Linked DNA regions of Schizosaccharomyces pombe. Changing the gene in region 3 together with the main gene of any one other region gives a genetic interaction. Each region holds a gene or a part of one and is shown on either strand. Other genes may lie near its edges.

Region 1 (5,448 bases), on a different chromosome or scaffold from region 3:
AAATTTAGACATGATATCATGTTCCCAGTTAGAAACTCCCTTATAAGAACCCAAATTTGCATTTAGAACTTCTCAGAAACAAGACCGTCCTTGAAGAAGATCATGTAGGGAGTAATACCATCCTCACGGTAGTTCATTAAGACAACCATTGCGTCGGGATCCATGCTCTCACCAATGTAAAAGTCGTAGTCCTTGAAGTTAGCCAAAATCTTCTTGACGAATCCAATGGCATTCTTCTCGAAAACAGGAACACGCTCGGGGTTGCTTTCTTGAAGACGAGCCTTGATAGCCTTCATGTAACCCTTGATGTAAGACATATAGGACTTCTTGTCAAAAGAAGTAGGGCTTAAACGGAAAGAGTAAACAAGATTGTTTACAGTCTCAGTACCCTCTTCAGCATTCTCCTCAGCATCCTCGGCAGAAGGGTTGGCACCAATGTCAACATCACCACCTTGCTTGACAGTGACCATTTGGCAATCAGCCTCGTAGACAATATCGTCTACCTCCTTCAAGTCGTAGGCGTCAGAAACGAGTTCGTCTCCAGAAATAACGTCCTTGTACAACAACATGGTGATTGCAGATGGTAGCTCATAATTTGACTTCTCGCAGGTTTAATGAGATAAAGCAGTCACAGTTTAGGGCAGGGTTACTGGATTCTAGCCATCCGTATGGAATGCGGTTACGAACAGTATTCACTTTACGTAGTACAGCGTTGTTTTCGATAGATACATTTTGTTTACCAATTCCTTCATTTTTTTCAATTTGTCGTAGTCTGTTCTCCTTTCTTTTAAATAACAATATTCTTTATATTTTCAGATTTTTTTTTAGATGAAAATATCGTTGTACTCAGTCAGTAGTAAATTGTTTTATATTACTGAATCTGATTTTTTGAGTGAAACCATTATGATGCGTGTAAAATTAAGATTAAAGCTGGAATTAAAGTCCAAATGAATTCAACAATTGAACCATATTTAACAGTATGTGTATTAATCTCTATGTTCTTTAATCAACTTGTAACCATTTATGTCGCCTCAAATTTATTATTCGAGCTATTATCCGTCAATTCTTGAGTCGTAATTAGAACATTCTCAACAGTACTGAGCTTCAGAAGAAACCTAAAAAAGTAGTGCATTATAGTTGATAATAATTCCTTAACGTTTATATATGATATACTTAAAAGTATGATATCGTACATCCTCAATTTGAAATTGCAGGGCCATTAAAAACACTCGTTAATAAAGATATTCAGTTCAATTAGAAAAAAATGACAAGGTACATTTTGGTGACAAACAAAGAGTAACTTAATGTTTTCCGTTGATTAAATTTTCGATCAATATCCCAAAATTTAAAACGCTTTAATGGAATGGATTAACGATTAAAATCGACTTCATTTCTAAAACCTTTCAAGCTTTAAACCGATTCAGTCCCTTCATTTAGAATGGCATATTTCGATTTTTGCTGAAAAAACCAAGACGACTGTTACCACTTTTGTTTACTACTTTACTCACATAGACATTCGAGAAAACGAAAAATAGTTGAGCACGAATAGAATTACATGAAAAAAGTAACTTCTATTTAAATTTAAAAAGCTCATTCGTAACTAAGCTCTTTTATTGTGCAAAGAGAGGATTAGTTTTCTAGTTTGTACAATTGCGCTGAAAAGACCAAGAACTCCAATTTGGTGTTTGTGTAAACCAGCTCCATTTTCTACAGACCAGTGAATACACAAAGGAAGGCTAGCCAAGTTTGAAGCTAAGTCTAACTGATGCTCCTTTTCGTCTTCTGTTTTTTCACGCAAAAGCTGGTAAATGGTCAATAAAGTATCGAGAAGCCAAAATCTAGAAGACCAAAGCCATAATTTGTCTTCCAACGGTTTTGATATGGAAATAATCTGTTTGCCGCCTAAGAATGCCAATCCTTCTGTGACATAGTATCCAATATTGATTGCGTTACTCATGTAAGTTTCAGGAGAAGAATCTTTACGAAAATTTACGATTAATTTGTAGAGACCAGGAAGACGTAAAATACATCGAAATTCATTTAGCATAGAAACCAGTTGAGCAGTTGATTTCGAAGATGCTGGATCCAACCTCGCAACGTTGACAAGAATGGCAGCAATTTTGTCAATTCCGCTGGGATTTTGCAGCATCAGGTTTAAAGAATGCATATAAGACATATTTCTCAAAAAATTTCAGCTCTAAGATTTGGTCAATTATATTGTTCACGAAAGGTAGTCTAATTTTCGTATACTTTAGTAGAAAAGCGTAAAATCCAAAAAAATACTAAGTAGCGTATGTAAACGACTAAAATTACCAAATCCAAAGATTATTTGAATGACGATAGATGTCGGTTCGGCAACGTCTTATGGTATAGAGAGTGAGTGTGCTGCTATAGTCGATCGGATCAGCAAACGTTAGCTAGTCTGTTTAGTACACCAATAGATTTGATAAGAAAAATCTACAGTGCAGCAAAGTGAAATGTTATTTTATGAGTTGATCGATTTTACTTTTAGAATTACAAATGATAAGATATGATAACTTTCTCCAGTTATCACGTCGATTAGATCGCCGGAAATAACTCCGATATTGAGGAAAGTGTATTCAGTTGCAACAAACAGCTGTGACGGCTTCAAAGTATCGGCAAATCATTTTTTGCATGTGTTTTAAAAAAATAGTTCAGCAATAAAAAACATAAATTTGTTAGGCTTCTAGAGGCATATGCTTATTTATGTGTTATTTTTTTAATATTTATCATAACGTATTTTTTATTACAAATCCTTAGGTAGCAATATCTTAAGAATTAAACATACATATGTTCAAGGATAAAAGAAAGAAAAACTTGGAAACTGGGTTTATTTTTTCTATTCCTTTGTTCAGATACATATAAAACAGCTTAGTTACTATGGATTATTATCATATAGAATTATGATAACTGTTTAAAATAAATATTATTTGGAATAACGAGATTTGTTTAGGTCGGCTTGAGATACGCACAGCTACGTAAGATTGTAGATAACAAACTTTGAAAACCTTCGCATTCAGTGGCCTGGGGAGCATGCAGACTACACTTCCTATTCTTCCTTTGCAAAAACCTTCTCTTCTTACTACATTAGTATATTTTTCATAGGGAGGTGCTATATGCACTGTATTCATAGTTACGCTCTGCTTACAGTGAGCAAAGTATTTCTTTGGACGCTAAAAAAAGGCTCCTGTATATTGATTTGAGTAAATATTTTGGCATAGAAAAACACATTCAACGCTACTTAATTGTTTTTTCCATTTCGAACTACTATTGAGAGGAAGTTGTTTTTTCAATTGTTTTATATCATTTGAAAAAAATTGAAGCACAATTGCTTATCTTTGATCAAACGTTTAAGGAGTAAGCTCCAAATTCGATAATCCCTATTCCGTTCTACATAAAACCTGAGTTCATCTCTTGTGCTGTCGCTTTCAACCTCAGAAGCTGTTAAGGATATATATTAATTTAAAATTTTTACCAAAAAATATATTTCATTCTCTTCATAGCCGTTTTCTGTTTGTTTAATTTCAATCTCATATTAATTCTTCTGATCGGGCCCCCCTTTGTTCTTTAGATTCATTTTTTCCTACTCTTTCCTTTTAATATTTAATTCCTAAGTCATTAGCTGAACCGTCAAGATGCCTTCATTAGTCAGGAGATTTCAGCATGCTTCAACAGAAGAACAACCTTTCGAACTCAACATCCAGATGGAGTCTCCTCCTTTGGTAATGTATGGGAATCCAGATGTTTCTAGTGGAGCGTTAGCATCTGGACTTGCCAAGTTGACTGTATTTCCTGCAGATCTCAAATGCGAATCCATTGTCATGGAATTCGTCCGCATAATATCCACAAAGCGTCCTTTGCGCGACAGCTGTCCCGATTGCAAAGCTCAGGTTGAGGCTTTTGAGAAATGGGAGTTTTCTAAAGAACCTACCGTATATACTCATGGTACACATACTTGGCCATTCACTTTTATAATACCTGGACATTTTCCACAAACGACCAACTCACCATTCATAAACGTTACTTACATCCTAAAAACTCGCGTTAAGATTCCCAGTCAACCCGATTTTGTTTTTGAATATCCTTTAAACTTGAAACGCTCTATTGTCACTAATGCTGATAAAATTGCCCAGCGTCTCTTCCCCCCTACTTCGCTTATTGCTCTTTTAGAGCTGCCTCCTGTAATTCACCCTTTGAGTTGTGTTCCTGTTGAATTTCAGCTGACCGGTGTAAAACCTGAAAACTCCAAGGTTGGTTGGCGCTTAACGAAGATTTCGTGGAGAATAGAAGAACAGATAAAAGCTCAAATAAATGGTTGCTCGACCCATACTGGGACAAAAAAGCCATACATTTTCAAGGAGACTCGGCTGTTGGGAAATAATGAACATAAGTCTGGTTGGAAAGAAGATGGCGATAGAATTATCTTCGAGATCCCTATCAGTACATCTTTACTTTCAAAGCCTATTTGTGATGTTTCCTTTGATGGACAATTCTCTCTATATATTGCCCATCAACTAATTCTTGAGACTATAGTCGTCGAAGTGATGAACTCGCATCCCATAAACTCGAATGCCCGAATTTTAAGGATGAAGGTCAATTTACCTTTGACTGAACGAGGTGGTCTTGGTGTTAGTTGGGATGAGGAATGCCCCCCAATGTTCAATAGTGTTGGACCCAGTCCTCCTGCATATGAGCAAGTTGCTAGATCCTCTCCCACTGATATTCCACTACCTCCACCTTCATGTCCTACAAATGTTCAAAGAGATTGATTCGAATTTTAGTTTCTTCCGTCAATTTTGTTTTTTTATCTTTCTGTTTTAATTGGGCTTGTTTTTTCATTTCAAAGATTTGTGTATCTTTATATGACTTGAACGGTAATTTTTTGACCTTTACTAAGCTTGGATGATACAACAGGATTTCCATTAAAGGTTGCTTAACGTTTGTTCAAATTCCGCTTTTTTATTTCTCTTTCCTGTAGATTAATCTAATTCTAAACCGTCAATTAAAATACTCACAGAATATCTAAGTAGACAAAGTAATGTTTCTCGTAAGATGATTTTGCTTAATTTTTCTTATTCCTTTTCGATTGACTTAGGACAAATTTGGCATAAATGTCTGCTTGCCTGATCGGTTCCGGTACCCTGCTATGAGAGCTACTGCATTTCTGTACGAGTTGGATAGACTGTTCTAAATTCATTTGGTTACCGATGCTAACATAAACTGGGCGTTTCGAGTTACTGCTTGTCCATACTGCAGCGCCCAGAATCTCAGAAGATTGATCAATCGAGTGAATCAATATTGGATGATCAGTTGTTTTCTTTAGCACGTGTTTCTTTAAAGTTTCACGATGTGCATCTAAGCTTTCAGTCAAACCCACGCAATGTAAGTAATTTTTCGCGACGCCAACAACGGGAAGATTCAACAACA
Region 2 (5,196 bases), 1.6 Mb from region 3:
GAGCAATTGACGGACAAAACGCCTTGCAGTTCATTGATATGATTATGTACTTTGGTCCATTGTTCCGCCTGCATAGGAGAAAGTAATAAATAATTAGCCATGACACCATGTTCACCCTCTGTTGAAGAAATCACAGACGCATCAAATCCACAATCTTCAATTTTCTCAGCGATCTGATCCGGTGAGATAATGCTAGGATCATGAACGGCAATAGCACGCTCAAGAAGCAACGATATAGTGAATTGTTCAATTCCTTCCACTCCTTCCAACATGGATTGGATAGAGGCCACACAACTGGTGCATGTCATACCCTGGACTGAAAGTGTAGTAGTATACATTTTAAGAAACTAAACAAAATTTTTAAAGGCAATCTAAATTATAAAAAGAAATAACGAAAAAGAAATAGTACAAGCCAATTAGAGATTAAATAAGGAAAATTAAGAGAAGCGAGTTACTGTATAGAAACGATAAATGTTGGAAATGTCGAAATAAATAGATAATAGTAAGGAACCCAAATCAAAGACAAGAGACGTAAAAAAAAAAAGAAACCCCCTCAAGTGAAGAAATAATCAAAATTTGACGATTAAAACCAATTACTTAATGTAAGTCAACAGCAAAAAGAGACAAGCCGATGATCAACAAAAGAAAATCAACATACAAAACTTTGGAAGGAAAAGAAAAATAACAAAAACGATACCAATGTTAAACAAAGCCAGCTAATAAAGTCTTTTTACACGCTTAGCAGTTAGCTGTTTTAGGTTGGGATACCACGAATTCAGAATTCGAATTCGCTTATTGTATCGTGATTTTCACCACAAAACGATTTAGAAAAAAATACAAAACAAAACGAATTCAACTTCAACAGACTACAGAAGAAGAGCAAATTATCAGCTGAACTTGTTAACAAAGTGTTAGTGAGTGTGTGGTAGATTACAAAAAGCACATGATGGCAGCGATATAAAACCGCAAAAACTCGCGCAAACTACGAAATATACAACTTGTAAAAATAATATTCAAATTGACATAATTATGTTTTAAATTCGAGGAGAATAAAAATCTTTGACAATAATCGATCGAAGCAGAGTACGACTTTTGGAACCGAGACGCATGCACAGTGCAAGCATATGATTCCACTCCCAATTGCTTAACAATGTGTAAAGACACTTCGGTAAAGCAAAATACAACAGTATGGCTAAGAACGTTATGTAAATATCGAAAATTGTAACGCAACATTCGATAAATGAGATTAAAACGGTAAACGTTAGAGCATGTCTTCTAATACCTTATCAAAGAATAAGGGAACGAAGCGTACATGGGTAAATTGTTGACCCATTCTAAACGATAAATAATAAATGGGACACCCAATAAAATAATTCAATGGATTTTGTCTTGGAAGAATTATTAATTCAAGTCGACATAAGGACCTTAACAAGAGCTGCCACAAACTTGAATAGTCTTCTAACCACTCCCACTAGAAAAATTATCGTTGAAGGTAAACATAAACATACTGTGCAAGCGCTAAACAGATTTACACAGATAAATTGAGAGGATCAATCAAGCCAGAAATCAAGAAAAGAGCAAAGATCAACTGCAGAATATCAATTGGCAGTTTTGGGGTTTGAACTGGTAAGTTTCAAGCCCAAAACTTACTAGATGACGGATTAAGGAGAATAAAAAAGAAAAAGGAAAGGAATAATCATTATGAAAAAATAAGTGGGGTTATATGGGTTTGCATGGAAAGAAGCTTAAGATTTCCAAAGCTTTTTAATACCCTCCGTAAGGCCAATATCATTCGTGTTGAACTCATAGACGCCAATAAGTGTAAGAACAGTACATCCACGTAAGATCCAGTGCATCAAAGGAGATAACTTCTTAAATCTTCTTGCAGGGAAGTAGTCAATCACACAAGATTCAAACCCCAAGTGGGCATGCGTAATCAAGGTGCAAGCCAATGCAGCGTCCATTAAGGGATGAGAAGTTCCGGTGAACAAAGGGATCATGACTTGAGGAACCATGGCAATAGCAATAATTCTTTCAAAGTCCCAATGATAGCTTCCGTGGAGCTTACTGTGGTGAGGGAAAACAGCAGCATCATTAACAGTTCCCTTAATGGTCTGAGGGGGAGGAGGGAAAATTTTCGCAACACTGGTTGTGCTAAAAGATTTAACTGCAAAAAGAAGACGTCCTTGACGAAGTGCTCCAAGTCCTAAACGTGTTTGTAACATATTGTTTGTAAACCAAGAAAAGCTGGTGGTGGTAGTAGGTGAGTTCGTATTGGCGGATCTTGTGTCCACATTATTGGCCATTCAACAGCTCGATGTGTTGAGCTTGGAGTGGCCGGAAATAGGCGATGAGAACCTAAATCTATCTACTCATAAACGAAAAATTGTATAACATAGAGTAAAGACTAGAAATTTAAATAGATATAATAGATTAATAAGTTTATTCAGAAGAATCTCCGGTCTTTAAGGTCGTTTCAAAACCTGGTTATTACTTTTTATAATAATATTATTCACTGCTGAAAACGAATTACCTTCTACATATAATATTACATGGGTTTTGTGGTGAGTTTGAATATCTATTATAATATTACACAGTACCAAAAGTTACTGCAGTTTCAAAAAAAATTTTACGGAAAGCACTACATTGTGAAAAAACAATAATCTACTGTAAATCTTTTTACTTAATAATATAATATAGATAAAGCTATAGAAATTTACTTGTAGCAATTATGCTAATATAAAGGTGCTGCATTGGCTTAAAAAAAGGTTAGAGAAACGGTTTTAAGAGGATGAAAATTTTATTTAAATTAATATCATTTATATAAAAAACTATTCTCATAAAAAGAAACCATCAAGCTACTCAATAGTCGATGTATAACAATGCTTGATTCGGTGCTAGTCAAAATTCTATAGTTGGACTGTTATTTTTTTAAAAATGTATTAACCGAAATATTGTAATGGAAATCATGGAAAAGAGAATTTCGTTAAGTATAAATAACCTTTTAATGTAGATGAATACGAACTTAACCTGATGAAGTGTCTTACCCTGTCTGATTCAATGTCATATAGATTCTTTTCAATATACCGATGAAACAATATATCCCCTACATAGTTTTTTACCAATGAGATTCTCCATGTTAAGTAGAGATATATTATATCATGAACTGGATTGTACGGTCATTCGTTTCCTTCCTTTATAGCAAATTGCGCACAGGGCAAAGACTAGGCAATCCGAAAGTTTCTGTTTGAATGGTCAACTTCTTATTTTTCTCTACATGGAAATTCTAGTAAGGGATTCAAGGATTGCTAGTTTTCTTTTTTTATTAAATGGGATCAATTGGTCATTTGCCGAAATTCGAACTTGGGACCTCGATAACACGTATTACGCTACACCTCTACGGAATACCTTCTTGCTACCTACTTACCCTTTACCATCCACAGAATCCCACCCAACCAAAGGAGCTTGAATTGATATTACTATGCTGAGGCTTCAGAATTTGCCAAAGCTAGTACGTCGTTTTGCGACTACTGCTTTACCAAAAACAGAAACCACTACTTTAAAAAATGGGCTTACAGTTGCTACGGAACATCATCCGTATGCCCAAACAGCGACCGTCCTTGTGGGCGTTGATGCTGGCTCAAGAGCTGAGACGGCAAAAAATAATGGCGCTGCTCACTTTTTGGAACATTTGGCGTTCAAAGGAACGAAAAATCGCTCCCAAAAAGCATTGGAATTGGAATTTGAAAATACTGGTGCACATTTGAACGCATACACCTCTCGTGAACAAACCGTTTATTATGCACATGCGTTCAAAAACGCTGTACCTAATGCAGTTGCCGTTTTGGCCGATATCCTGACAAATTCAAGCATTTCTGCCTCGGCGGTTGAGCGTGAACGCCAAGTCATCTTAAGAGAGCAAGAAGAGGTTGACAAAATGGCCGATGAAGTAGTCTTTGATCATTTACATGCTACCGCTTATCAGGGTCATCCTCTTGGACGTACAATTTTGGGTCCTAAGGAAAACATCGAATCTCTTACCCGTGAGGACCTTCTCCAGTATATTAAGGACAACTACCGTAGTGATAGAATGATTATCTCTTCTGCCGGTTCGATATCTCATGAGGAGCTTGTAAAGCTCGCCGAAAAATATTTTGGCCATTTGGAGCCTTCAGCTGAGCAATTGTCGCTTGGTGCTCCTCGTGGACTCAAACCTCGTTTCGTCGGGTCTGAAATCCGTGCTCGTGACGATGATTCACCAACTGCCAACATTGCCATTGCTGTTGAAGGTATGAGTTGGAAACACCCAGATTACTTTACTGCATTAGTCATGCAAGCCATCATTGGTAACTGGGACCGTGCTATGGGAGCATCTCCCCATTTGTCTTCTCGTCTTAGTACTATTGTTCAACAACATCAACTTGCCAATAGCTTCATGAGTTTCAGTACTAGTTATAGTGATACTGGACTTTGGGGTATTTATCTTGTCACTGAGAACCTTGGCCGTATTGATGATCTCGTCCACTTTACCCTCCAAAACTGGGCTCGTTTAACCGTTGCAACTCGTGCTGAGGTTGAACGTGCCAAGGCACAACTCCGTGCTTCGCTTTTACTTTCTTTGGATTCAACGACCGCCATTGCAGAGGACATTGGTCGCCAATTGCTTACAACTGGTCGTCGTATGAGCCCTCAAGAGGTTGATCTCCGTATCGGTCAAATCACTGAAAAAGATGTAGCCCGCGTTGCTTCCGAGATGATTTGGGACAAGGACATTGCTGTTTCTGCTGTTGGTTCCATTGAGGGTTTGTTGGACTACAACCGTATTCGTAGCAGTATTTCTATGAACCGTTGGTAAACGCATTTTCTTGGGACTTTTGACTATTGTCTATTATTTAATCTTAAGGCTCATCCTTTGCTATTGTTTGTTAACGCCTTTATGATTTCGTCTGCCTCTTCGCTCTCTTCAGATATATGAGCTGAATTCACCAATATACGTTGTTTACGTGTTGATCAGTACTATCACCGGTTGGATATGAAGCTGTTTGCACACAAGTAATATCATTTCAGTAGATGAGAGCATACCAGAGTTGTTTATAGTGCAAAGTCGGTTGCTTACTGCATCACCTTTGAAAACCCCCTTTCTTCAGAGTTAAACTTTTCTCTCATTTATTATCTGTCAAGGTGTATTGCTCGGAC
Region 3 (6,922 bases):
TCAATTTCAACATCATTATTTGTTCCATCCTTCATATCATCAGCCACATTTACAGTAGGGATTTTATCAGAAATCTTTTTCAGTTTGGCAACGAAAAAACCGTCTATATTGTGAACATGAGGATAATAACGTCTAGTTAACTTTAGACTTGGATGAAATCTTTTTTCACGAAAACGGGTAAACCCTTCACGTCCAAATTCAAGTCCAGTGGACACTAGCTTAACATTAGGGCGCTTCTTTAAAGCATATTGAATAACTGCTTCATCTTCGTCAACAGTAATACTGCAAGTAGAATACACGATAAAACCACCGGTTTTGCTGTCAGCATTGACAGAATCAATAGCGCTTAGAAGCAATTGCCTTTGTAAATGGCTAAGAGTATCAAAATCCCTTTCAGATTTGTTAGTTTTAACAGACTGATCTTTATATATAACACCAGTACCCGAACATGGGGCGTCAAGGAGAACACGGTCAAAACCGCCAATTACTTCGTTGGGAAACTTGCGGCCATCGTAATTACATACAATAGCATTACGTACACCTAAACGATGAATGTTAGCGGAAAGAGCCTTTGTTCGAGCTTTGTTAGAATCATTTGCAAAGATAATTCCAGTATTCTTTTGTAATGCAGCAACATAAGTGACTTTACCACCAGGTGCTGAGGACATGTCAAGGATACGTTCATTTGGTTGAGGCGCAAGGGCCATTACAGGCAAGAAGGAAGATGCAGCTTGCAGGATGTAATGACCAGCTAAATATTCGGGTGTCGCACCGATTGGAACCTGGGATTCGAATACTTGGAGACCTACTTTGGACCATTTACCAATTGGTTCCAAATTGACACCACGATTAATTAATGCTTGGGCTAATTCTCGTCGCTGGGTTTTTAAAGTATTGGTACGAATTGTGACAGGACGAGGCATTTCATTTGCCTCAAAAAACTCAACAGCCTCAGAAACTGAAAATAATTCAAATAACTTCTCAGCAAGAAAGCGAGAATAACCGTAATACGCACATATATCATTTAAGAGTTGATCAACATATTCAGAACGATTGCGTCCAGGTTCACACAAATTTTTAAAATCATTCAAAACACGGACTATTTCCTGTATCCGCAATTGAATTTGGCTCAAATCCTGTGGAAGAGTAGATATTGGTTGGCTATCGGTAAAACCATCAATAGGTGGAAGAACAGTAGGAGCCTCAGGATGTATGTTGGTATGCAATTCTTCCTCGGCTTCTTTTTCCTCTAATTCCGCTTCCTCATCAAGTTTGCGAGACATGGCTTCCATATTCGCAAGTTCCAAATCCTCTTCATCTCCAGAATCATCGCTAAACATAGGCTTAACCTCATGCTCTTCATCCGAATCAAAAACAGAATCTTCTTCCTCCCCTTCACATTCTTTAGCCTCATCATCGATAAACTCGTCAGCAAATGTTTGGGGTTCCTCGTCATGTTCCAAGTCTGATAAAGTTTCAGCCTCTTCAAATTCGTCTGCATCAATAAGATCTTTTTCATTCTCAGAATCCGAATTTTCAAACAAAGATTTCTTTTCTTCTGCTAATTGGCGTTTCCGAGAATTTTGTGGTTTTTCTTTTGAATGCTTTCTCTTTTTTGCATTTTCTGTCACTTTATGAGAAGAATTATGATTTTCCTCTAAAGTTGGGGGAATTCCTTGCTTAGACTTCTGTTTTCTTCCCATCTTTTATGGAAAATATGTGATGAAGTCCAAAAACGTTTATTTGGGCTGAGGAAAAATTTTGGCACTGGCATTCTTTCAGTCCAACCTCCACTATTCACATCGCTGAGTTTTGTTAAAAACTTTTACGAAAGATAAAGAACATTAAATTTTTTCAAGCAATACTACACTACGCTATGACATACTATGTTGCGTATCACTATATGCCATATGTTTAAATACTTAAGATCCGTTTATTGATACACGAGGATAAACTATCCGTCTATCTACATAGATGCAACGTTGATAGCAACTTATAGAAATATTATTAATAGAGCTACAGTTGAACTGAGGAACGAGGTACAGTTCCTAGCTGTATCGATGATCGATACTAATAGCTTCCTATAAACATTGTCAGTTAAAAATATACTGCATCCCGCTATATTGTAGATCGCAAGAGAAAATTGCCGCAGTTCTATGTATCGTTAAACAGATATTCAAACTGCATTGCTGAAACACAAAAAGATATACCGCATAGCAACAGCATAGTTAACATTATTAAAAATTCACGACTATTGTTATATTTATCTTTTTTAAAATTTGCTACGTACTTTACTGCTCAGCTTACTTAAAAAAGTCACTTAATTTACTCGTTCATCTTACTTCACCTCCTTGACAATTAATCATTTCAATTATGATCACATTAAGACTTGGTTAACGATTGAATTTGCTGCGGCGTAAAATGAGTGACAATATATATTCAAGACCTATATATAGTTCACACAACAGCAGAATATCGAATTTTAAAATTTACTATTTACTTTTCTCTTTTCGTATCACTTTTGTGGTTTAAGATACATATAGTGGTACTTAGATATGTAAATATACCGTATTCTCTAAAAATAACTAAAGATGGGCATGGACATTCAATAATTAATAATAAAAAAGAACAACTAAAAATAATTAGGAATTTGAGTTAGGCGGTCAAGTGTTTACAGTGGAATATCACCATAATACACTTGGTGGAATACGAAGAATTAACGAGGTATAGTGTATATTAAAAAAAGTTTTGGACAGTCTTTTGAAGAGCAAAGCGAACGACAGCCAACCATCAAATTAGTAAACAAGAGTTCAATCTTGCTAGAGTGTGCGTATTTCCATGCGAGATTTGACCTCTGCAACGGACAGCGCGTCTTTGGAAAGTGATTCGTCACGAAATCAATTTATTATCAATTCACTGGTATGTTTTATTAAAATTGTGATTATACTAACGTTTAGCTACCATGGTACTCATGCTCTGAACATGAATTTCCTCATCGAAAGGCTAGAAAAAGGCGTTCGCCTAAGAATTTAGATTGGTCGGTTTCGGTGCAAATGCCTCTGGTCACATCAAAGACGAAAGAGTCTGAAAAATCGCCTAAATCGTGGTCTGCAATTGCGAAAAAGCATGTTCAAGGAGACTCTCCTGTTAAAAAATCACATTCTGTTCCGGTACCGTCTGACAGGTCTGAGAAAAAAAGTTTCAATTCATCCCTTGGTGAATTGATCGAAACATATTCTCCATCCCTCGATGCACCCCGTCCTATACAGCCTCGGGGTTTTATAAATACCGGAAATATATGTTTTATGAACTCTATTTTACAGGCACTAATGTATTGTGTTCCATTTTATAATTTACTTAAGCAAATTAACCGGATGGTTCCGTATAATTTTGAACGTACAACACCTCTTATTGAATCGTTGACAATGCTTTCTAGGGATTTTAGAGAATATTCTGAGAAATTTGATTTACAAGGAGATTCTATTTTGCCAGAAGTGGTATATTCAGCTACTAAGGGGAATCCTCGATTTGAAATGTTGCAGACCGGCGAACAGGAGGATGCTGAGGAGTTTTTGAATTTGTTTCTTGACGAATTACATGAAGAATTCGTGCGTGAACGTAGACATTATTTATTAAAAAATGACGAAAGAAATCCAAAATCTGATATCAAAATTTCAAATGGTATCAAGTCTGGTTTAGATAGTTTTGATGATCAATCTTCTGTAGAAGCTAGTGGCTGGACCGAAGTTGGTAAAAATAAAAAGCCAGTAATTGCTAGATCTGCTACTGTTGAAAGGTCTCCTATAAGCCAAATTTTTGGTGGTCAGCTGCGCTCTACCTTAAGGGTTCCGAGTGCAAGAGATTCTGTTTTGTTAGAACCGTTTCAACCTCTGCAACTCGACATTCAAGCAGAAGATATACATTCAGTTATCGATGCGTTGGAGCATATGACCGCCCCTGAAATTTTACCGGAATGGCATTCGTCGAAAGGAAATGTTACTGCTACCAAGCAAATGTATATAGAGTCACTTCCTCCTGTCTTGATTCTTCACCTTAAACGATTCTTTTACGAAGCATCTGGCGGTACACAGAAAAATTATAAGCCTATTGCTTATCCTGCTCGCTTGAGTATTCCACAAAACGTTTTCAGCCCTTCTGTTCGTGGTTCCATACATCCGGAATATGATTTGAATGCAGTGGTTTATCATCACGGTACTTCTGCGTCTGGTGGTCATTATACTGTCGATGTTCAGCAACTTGATAAAAGCGGCTGGTTTCGGATTGATGATACACACATTCACCGCGTACCTATTCATGATGTTGAAAACTCCGAACTTTCCGCTGATCCGAGTCTTAGTAAACTTGGTCACGGCGATCGTGTGGCATACTTACTGTTTTACACACGACGCTCCTAGGTCATCTGGATTCCTTCCTCCCAAAAAAAATTAACCAATAAAAACCTTAATTGTTTTGTGTATTCTTCAATAAACAACTCAAGGATTTGAGCTAAAACTGGGGACTACACTTTTTTATAATTCTTTTTGTTTAAAACGTCGGTTAGAAAATTTTATCATATCTTTTTTACATAATTTTCTCAAAAAGGTTCAGCAATTTTTTATTATTTTTTATTTTATGAACTTTAGCTATTTAAGATTACGTTCCCTCTCAATCCCTTTAAACTAATCGGCTTTATAATACAACCTTTCTAGGAACTTACTCCGAATATACAAGTGAATTTTCATTGCAGCTTTAATGCAGTATATATTTTAAAACAGTACCAAAAGTAGGGTCAAGTGGTTTTTATTTTGCTGTCCTATTAGTAGTAGGTCAAGTCCAGCTTCATAATGTAATATTTGAAGTACTATGGCATCAAGTTTGTCACTTTAAAGCCCATTTCTATAATTTTCATGCAAGCTAAACTCCTTGTTTTAAATAAAAAGATTTGATCGTTTGAGAATCTTGATTCAGCGCATTCTAAAGTACGAATATAAATTACAGTTTTTTTGTTGCATTTATTAAACATTTGGCCCCCACTTGCATACCCCAATTATATCTCTGCGCAGTTAAGCCTATTGTCAACACCACTACCAAATTCTTTTTCCTAATACCTGGCGCGTTGAAATAGGCACTCCTTACTTTTATTAATTAATCATGACATTTTTCAGTGCACTGGGTATGATGAATTTCGTCAAAGTAAAGCTAATCATTAGGTGATATGGCCCATTTGGCTGCTATTTTCTTGCTTTTGCACCGAATGAAAAAATCGAAAACCTGTTCAGGACTATCTCTCAAATCCCATCTTTTGTTTCTGCTTGTTTATGTTACACGTTATTTGAGTATGTGCTGAACTTTTCGAAAAATACTTTCTTTGCTAACTCTTTTTTTTAACAGATCTCTTTTGGAGATACAAAAGCTTGTATTATTTCTTGATGAGGATAGTTTTTATAGCTTCCGAATCCTATATATGCTACTTGATGTTAATGACTTTGCGACCTACATATGACAAACGTCTTGATACTTTTCGAACTGAATATATCTTAGGTGGTTGTGCAGTTCTGGCTCTCATTTATCCAACCAGTTATACCATTAGTAACATCCTATGGACTTTTAGTATTTGGTTAGAAAGTGTTGCAATTCTCCCTCAATTGTTTATGTTACAACGATCTGGTGAAACAGAGAGCCTGACTGCCCATTACTTATTTGCAATGTGCTTATATAGAGGACTATATATTCCTCATTGGATTTATCGTATTGCAGTTCACAAGAAAGTCATCGGTGTTGCAATTCTTGCGGGCATTATCCAAACCGTTTTGTATGGTGATTTTGCAGTCGTATATCGCCGAACAGTTCTACAGGGAAAAAAGTTCCGATTACCTGCTTAGTTATGATTTTTATTGATGAAAAAAGAAGGAATCTTTATTGTTTTTTTTCTATTTGCATTACCTTTTTCTCGATGCAATAAGTTTCTGATTGCATTTTTAGCAACGCCGTCAAAGGACTATGTTCATGAATGAATTAATGAACTAAATGGGCTTTTTTGTATTTGTATGCAAAAAAATTATAACTTAACTTATCCGTAATACATATGCTCGATGGATGACACGATCTGTTCTTTCTTTCATTAAAATTAAGACTTTAGTACATTATTAGAAAATTAATTTAGGATTTACTGATGATCAGAAACCAAAAAAAAGAATTTTCAATTCATATACGATACAGAAACATTAAGCAATATTTAAACAAAATTAACTGTTTGGGTATTTAAAATGGTAATTGAATGTAATATATGGAAAAGGAAAATATGAGCAGCCTCATTCCAAGCTAAATTGTTGAATTACTGTACATCATTAAAAAAAAAATAGAATAAATTTGTAGATTATCATAACCGCCAATTCACGGAAATTTATATTAATAATCGGTGCTATAATTTTATAATAATTGAGGACTCCTCTATTATTTGCGTATTGCGAATGTTCGGAAGTGTTTGATAGACTACAGGTAAAATAGTATATACTTGAAATCTATCAAGTTCTGACATGATATCTCCTTAAGTTTAAAGAGAATCTAGTAAATGCGTAAATTAAAACACTTGAAGTAAATTAGTCAAGCAAAAAATTGAATTTTAAATAAATTCATTGTTCCTGAAATCAAAATAAGGATTTAAAAACAATATTAAATGTTTGTAAAAATATAGTATAGAAATTGGTATATATAGATTTTCCAAACTGCTATTTGCAAAATGTTTTTGTTTACAGATATTAAGTTTATAATTTCTAAACATATAGCCATTACAAATTGATTACATGCTTATTTAATAACAAAGATCGAAATTTGTTTAAAAACTGAATGAAAACAGTAAAATGTAACGTTGCGTACCGATGATTATAGCGTACTCAATATTTTTAAAAGCGATTATGAGGTG
Region 4 (5,647 bases), on a different chromosome or scaffold from region 3:
TAGCTAATGGGTTCCAAGCTGAAAGAATTATACGACGGTCATAAGGGTTTAATTTGAGGGTAGATATAACCTGAGCCAGCTGATCCACTCCTTTATTGGTATAGTCAGTATCGCAATCAACATATTGCGCTCCGAAATGTCTCCATTGAAAACCATATATAGGACCGAGGTCACCAACTTTACGATCAGTAAGCCCTCTGCTGTCTAGGAATTCTCTACTGCCATTGCCATCCCATATATGAATCCCTTTTTCACTTAAATGATTGGCATTAGTATCACCGTGAATAAACCAAAGTAACTCTTCAAGCACACCACGTAAAAAAACACGCTTTGTAGTGAGAAGAGGTAGAGTATTATTCCTTAAAGAAAAGCGTAGTTGTGGAGGAGCAAATACCGATCTCGTACCAGTTCCCGTGCGATCGGGCCGCGACTGGCCATTTTCAAGGATATATCGAATCAAATTTAGGTATTGCTCTTCTTCTGTATTTCTATATTCGGAGGAAGTAAATGGTACAGGAGGTTCGGGTTTGGTAGTAACATTTTCAGAGGCCTGAGTATCCACCGATTCCGAGCCTAATGGAGCTTGGGAGGTCTCGTGATCTTTGCTTATAGAAGATTCTGTAGTAGAGGGTAAAAGAGAGGCCTTGGGGGTAATATCTGCATTTGCAGAAGTTTCAATCATACTGTTGGATTGTTCATTATCATCAACATCGTCATCATCATCATCATCGTACTCTTCAAAAGCAGCAGTTTGTTCACTAGAGTCATCATCTTGTCCATCGATGTTTTTCACAGCGTTCGGCAAGACAGACTTTTGTTCTAGCTGCAATTTATCGGCAACTCTGCCTACAATGTTTCTCCATTCGGCCATACCGCCCATGCCAATATCACCACAGGCAAGCACTTTCTCGATTGGCATGATAAATTCACTATTCTTGTATATTCTGCTAATAGCGCTCAAATGTTCCTGAGTTATAGGATTAGTCCACATCAAGGTATTCATTGCGGGAGCCAAGAGAATTGGTTTTAAAGGGGCCCAGGCACGTATAAGAGAGGTAAGTAAATTGTCACAGAGACCATTTGCCATTTTGGCCATAGTATTTGCACTTAAAGGGGCAATTAACAAAAGATGTGCCCATCGACGTAGCTCAATATGTGTGATAGGACATTCGAGTCCGTCCCAATTTTTCCAATCATCCGCATTGTTATAAACATTGACACCCAAAGCCGTTAAGTCCTCTTTCTCAACAAAGTTACGAGCCGGATCCGTTAAAACGACTTGAACGTCGACGCCCTTGTATGTCAGTAGGGATTTAACGATTAATGTCAATTTTATCGCCGCAACCGAACCCGTTGCAGCGACCAAAATATGATATTTAGAATCCGTAAGTTGTCGCTCTTTCTCAAGGATCATGGGATTTTTTACAGCCCTGGTAGCAAACCTGGCATGCAAAGGTTGTGACATATTGGCCAACGAAACGAAAGTAATTGACGGGCCTTAATGTTGGTGAAGCTAGAGATTATAGATGCAGGGAGAAGGTTAGATATCGATTTATCTGGTACTGCAATTTAATGAAACTTTTATAAACTCATTGAAGCGCGTTATAATGGTCGTCCACAAAAACAAATTTAGCAATTGAACAAGCGAACCTTAGTTTTGCAAGGGAATTGTACACGTCGTACGCAGAAAAACAAAGAACGTACGTTGCTTTAGTACCAAAAAAAAGTAATTATTTATTATGCCTGCAGTGTGAAATCCAAGTGCCGTTATGCAAGGATGCACTACACTCTCACTATTAGCAATTAGTTACTTAATATATCCATAATTCGGCAAATGGCATAGTCTCCTAAACCTTAGAAGACCCGTAAGCATGGATAATTTAAAGAAAATTTTTTTGCAATACTTGAAAGCATATTTGATGCTTTAGTACTCTCGCTATTTTACGCTGTACTTGTTTGATTACTTTTATCTTAGTTAACATGCTGACAAATGTGATGGGTTATTTTCCGAAATCACAACACCTGTCTTCTACTCAAGCAGTAATACAAGTCTTGAAAAGCTCTGACTCAAACCGATGGAACTAGAAACACTCGAAAAAGATTGCTCCAATATTGAGAACAGACCTTAGCGTTAGCGAACTGCTAATTGATGACAACTCATCACTTTGTGTGCTACTCTATCGGAATCATGTCATTATTTATACAATACAAATGAAACACTACTTTGAATTGCTTTTAGGATCACCGTAAAAGAAGAAAATTGTATTTGCTAAAACACTTAGAATTGGATAGCAGCACCCTAAAATGATTGTTAGTAGATGAAATAAAGAAAATGATCGATAATAAGGATGAAACTCAACAAAAGACAATTCATAAAAGCGCTTTGCAAAATTTTTTTTCTGGATTTGAGAGGTATTCAACCACGGCAAAAACTCTTTTACAAATTCGTCTAAATCCAATCCACTCGTTATCAGCATTCTTCGACATACCTTAGTCTTCTTTTCACCACCAAGCTCGAAATGCTTGCAACGCTTCAAAACCAATTGATTCTTGTATTTGCAAGAGACGCATTCCAAACGAAGGACAACCTTCTTGGTAACCTTAGCCTTCTTGTGGAAAACGGGCTTAGTTTGACCACCAAAACCACTTTGCTTGCGGTCATAACGACGCTTACCCTGAGCAAGCTTGGAATCAGGTCCCTTCTTGTATTGGGTGACTCTGTGGACAGTGTGCTTGCGGCAGTTCTTACCAGGACAGTAAGTCTTACGGGTCTTGGGAATGTTCACCATTTTTTGATACTTTTATAAGTGATGGTTAGATGGTGGTGATTAGGAACTCGACAGCATAAAGTTTCTCTGCTAAACCCTTGTTGTACAAATGTGACTGTTTCTTATTCCTCTAGGTTAGGTTTACTTGCTGCTGTAATGTCGTTCAACGCACTGTTCGCAATAGTGTGAACAACCGATAGCTACCCTAAAAGTGTTTACTGCGTAAGATCAAGCTTGCAATATATCAAATGTGGGCCAGCAAACAAAATTTCTAAGCTACATTGTTTTAGTGCTGGAATTTCAATCCAACTTTGATTCTTCTGTGAGGGCTTTTTAATGTAAAACATGCGAAAATTATTGTAGTAAATTTCTATTTTTAATCACTAGTTGTTACCATCGCTGCACTCCAAATCTTATATTTATCGACTTCACTGATTTCTTTATGCAAGACTTGGCACAGCATCCGAACAGTATGAGATATTGCTCCACCAAAAGTTTAGGAAAATGATGTAGATATCACTATGTAAATAGCGAAATAGCGACTTAAAACAAGTCAAGTCAGGCTAAGCAGTATTTCCCAATTATCATACTTCATCGACACGTCAAAGTGACGCCCCAAATTAATCTGTACCTAAATCCATAATTGGACCTTGAGTATACTATATATTTAGTGGTAGCGCCCTTAAATCCTTTAATTACAAAACATTTATTTTACAAAATATTCACATTCATATTAATCTTGTTCTAACTCAAACTAAATATTAATACAAGAAATGCCATCCTACACTCACATGCCGTATGTACGCCCTAGTGCAATTCTCTTGGGGATTGCCTTCGACCATGCTGCTTCTTTCCTCGTTTATGGACCCCTAATGGGCGATATTTGGAAAAGGGCAATGAGCACTGCACCTCACGTCGAATATGACGCTGGAAGTAAAACCAAGAAGGTTGCTACAACTTATGTTAGCAATTTCCTTAGTACAGCAGTTCAGTCGTACTCGATCGCTGCATTGTTGCAACTTACAGGCACTGTGACACTCAAAGGTGCCTTTTTCGTGGGTCTTTATGTATTTGGTGCATCTGGATTGCCCGACGTAGTCGACTATATGTTCACAGAAAGCAGAGGTACCCCTTACATCCTTGTCAAAACTATATCTTCTCTAGTGAAATCAGTAGGCTTAAGTGTTGCCTTGATCGGTTACGGCGTACGTCGTATTTAAGATTCCGATGGTTCAATATCTGATTTTTAAAACGACAAGTTAATCAAATTTTCTTTAATATCTAAGATTTCTTTTCTGTGTTTATCTCATATTTGGTTAGACTGTAAGTGAAAATAGTATCCCAATAGTGGTATTGGACAACATCGAAGCTTCCTTTGCTTGTTATAACTGTACATATTAAGGTATGTTGTAACTCTATTCAGCAAATCCTTGATTCACAAGATTTGCATCAGTCCTAGTGTAATACAGGGTAATTTCTCTCGTAACAATTAAAGTTAAAAAAAGTAAAAAAAAAATACACAAACTGGCATACAATCATTGCCAAATCGAATAAAACTTATGCACATTAAGTTAGGCTTGTCTCTTCAACATCTTCGGCATCTTCGTAAGCGTCATAGTCATCAGTGGATATCGTATCGTGTCTTACATGATGAGTCACTTTACTCATCTGTACATTGTTATCGTACTTAAGATCAGTATTCTCAAACACTGTATCACTAGAACTTTCGACTCTGTTATCGGAGTATTTAGAAGGGGTTTGTTCATCATCTGTTTCATGAGCTGTACTACGGACGATCGGCGTCTCATATATATTAAAATCAGGTTGCTTCAATGGCTTTGGAGTTGCCAATGGACTGCGTTCTAACATAAAATTCTCTGTATCCACCTGTGAACCGTAGTCTATTTCTGCAACAGTTGCTTTAGCAGAATTATCAGGCACAACATGTTCGTCTAAAACAGTGTCACTCGATTCCTCAATGAAACTACCTCCATTTTTTCCATTGCGTTTCGATGACACAAAGTCATCCCATAGAATTTTACGTACTTTTTCATCTTGAATTGTTCGAATTCGATCAGCCTCTTCCGCTCCTCCGATCTTATTCAACTTTTCGTTCTCAACAAAAGTTTTAACTTCTTTTGAAAATTCATCTACTCGTTGCAACAGTCGTTTTTTCTGCAACAGTTCACTACGCTCAATAGCCTGTAGTCGTGCTTCACTGTCGGGTTTTAGATTTAGTACTTCTAGCTGAATTTGATCACGATAACCTTTAATCTCAGACTCAGTGGCAGTTTTCAAAGTTAAGGGTTTGCTTTTAATGGAGGACTTGGCTTGCAATTCAGCTATCGCGGAAACATTTGAAAGGACAGTGGATAATGCGGAAAGATCCCTCTTAAGATCTGATATAAGAACAGTATGACTATCCAGAAATTCTTGCTCTTGTACAATTGCATTTAACTCTCGTTCCCATTGCTTCTTCCAAATTGGAGTTACTTCCTCAAGAGATCTTTCAAGGGTTTGAATCCTTTTTTCCAAGTATGCGCTTTCCTCATTTAATTGAGATGTTTGATCTAAGCCTGGTCGTACTTTGCGCAACAGCACATCAGAACGCATAAGTTCAATCTGATCATTTACCTCATCAAACTTTTCAACTACGTTTTTAACTTCCCGTTCAATCCTGTCCTTGCTGCTTAAAACAAATCCTCTTCCAAATTGGAAATCCAGAGATCCCTTTTCATTAAACGCATTTATCTCTTTCTTAAAATCTTTTATCTTTAACGGAATCCTGGTGAAGAAAGCAGCCGAAATCTGTTTAAGAGAAGCCAATTCTAGTTGCATATTCTTAACTTGTTGGTAAAACTTGTGGTCGATACTATCAG

Evidence for each region.
Region 1: mutations in ubp3 (region 3) and SPOM_SPAC1F12.04C together harm fitness more than expected from each alone (negative genetic interaction), as found in Schizosaccharomyces pombe (one large-scale study listed by BioGRID).
Region 2: mutations in ubp3 (region 3) and tim18 together harm fitness more than expected from each alone (negative genetic interaction), as found in Schizosaccharomyces pombe (one large-scale study listed by BioGRID).
Region 4: mutations in ubp3 (region 3) and SPOM_SPAC15E1.02C together harm fitness more than expected from each alone (negative genetic interaction), as found in Schizosaccharomyces pombe (one large-scale study listed by BioGRID).

What each region holds. Positions count from the first base shown.
Region 1 is NC_003424.3:3,809,466-3,814,913, forward strand, and holds SPOM_SPAC1F12.04C (uncharacterized protein), read right to left. Parts: upstream 2,385-5,448; 5' UTR 2,177-2,384; coding exon 1,601-2,176; downstream 1-1,600. Other genes in the region: tma19 (translationally-controlled tumor protein), read right to left, coding at 63-569; arrestin-related substrate adaptor Any2, read left to right, coding at 3,657-4,790; SPOM_SPAC1F12.06C (DNA repair endonuclease), read right to left, coding at 5,084-5,448.
Region 2 is NC_003423.3:2,033,129-2,038,324, reverse strand, and holds tim18 (TIM22 inner membrane protein import complex and succinate dehydrogenase (SDH) anchor subunit Tim18), read right to left. Parts: upstream 2,266-5,196; 5' UTR 2,226-2,265; coding exon 1,746-2,225; downstream 1-1,745. Other genes in the region: Cu(2+) transporting ATPase Ccc2, read right to left, coding at 1-338; SPOM_SPBC29A3.21 (uncharacterized protein), read right to left, coding at 931-1,233; MPP complex beta subunit Qcr1, read left to right, coding at 3,482-4,855. UniProt on the Schizosaccharomyces pombe protein: Membrane-anchoring subunit of succinate dehydrogenase (SDH) that is involved in complex II of the mitochondrial electron transport chain and is responsible for transferring electrons from succinate to ubiquinone (coenzyme Q).
Region 3 is NC_003423.3:3,674,875-3,681,796, forward strand, and holds ubp3 (ubiquitin hydrolase Ubp3), read left to right. Parts: upstream 1-2,774; 5' UTR 2,775-2,838; coding exon 2,839-2,919; intron 2,920-2,957; coding exon 2,958-4,415; 3' UTR 4,416-4,787; downstream 4,788-6,922. Other genes in the region: RNA methyltransferase Nop2, read right to left, coding at 1-1,703; erd2 (HDEL receptor), read left to right, coding at 5,152-5,173, 5,211-5,336, 5,392-5,882.
Region 4 is NC_003424.3:3,719,651-3,725,297, reverse strand, and holds SPOM_SPAC15E1.02C (uncharacterized protein), read left to right. Parts: upstream 1-3,461; 5' UTR 3,462-3,541; coding exon 3,542-3,988; 3' UTR 3,989-4,041; downstream 4,042-5,647. Other genes in the region: hal3 (thymidylate synthase), read right to left, coding at 1-1,465; rpl42 (60S ribosomal protein eL42), read right to left, coding at 2,279-2,299, 2,490-2,789; bud6 (actin-interacting protein 3), read right to left, coding at 4,335-5,647.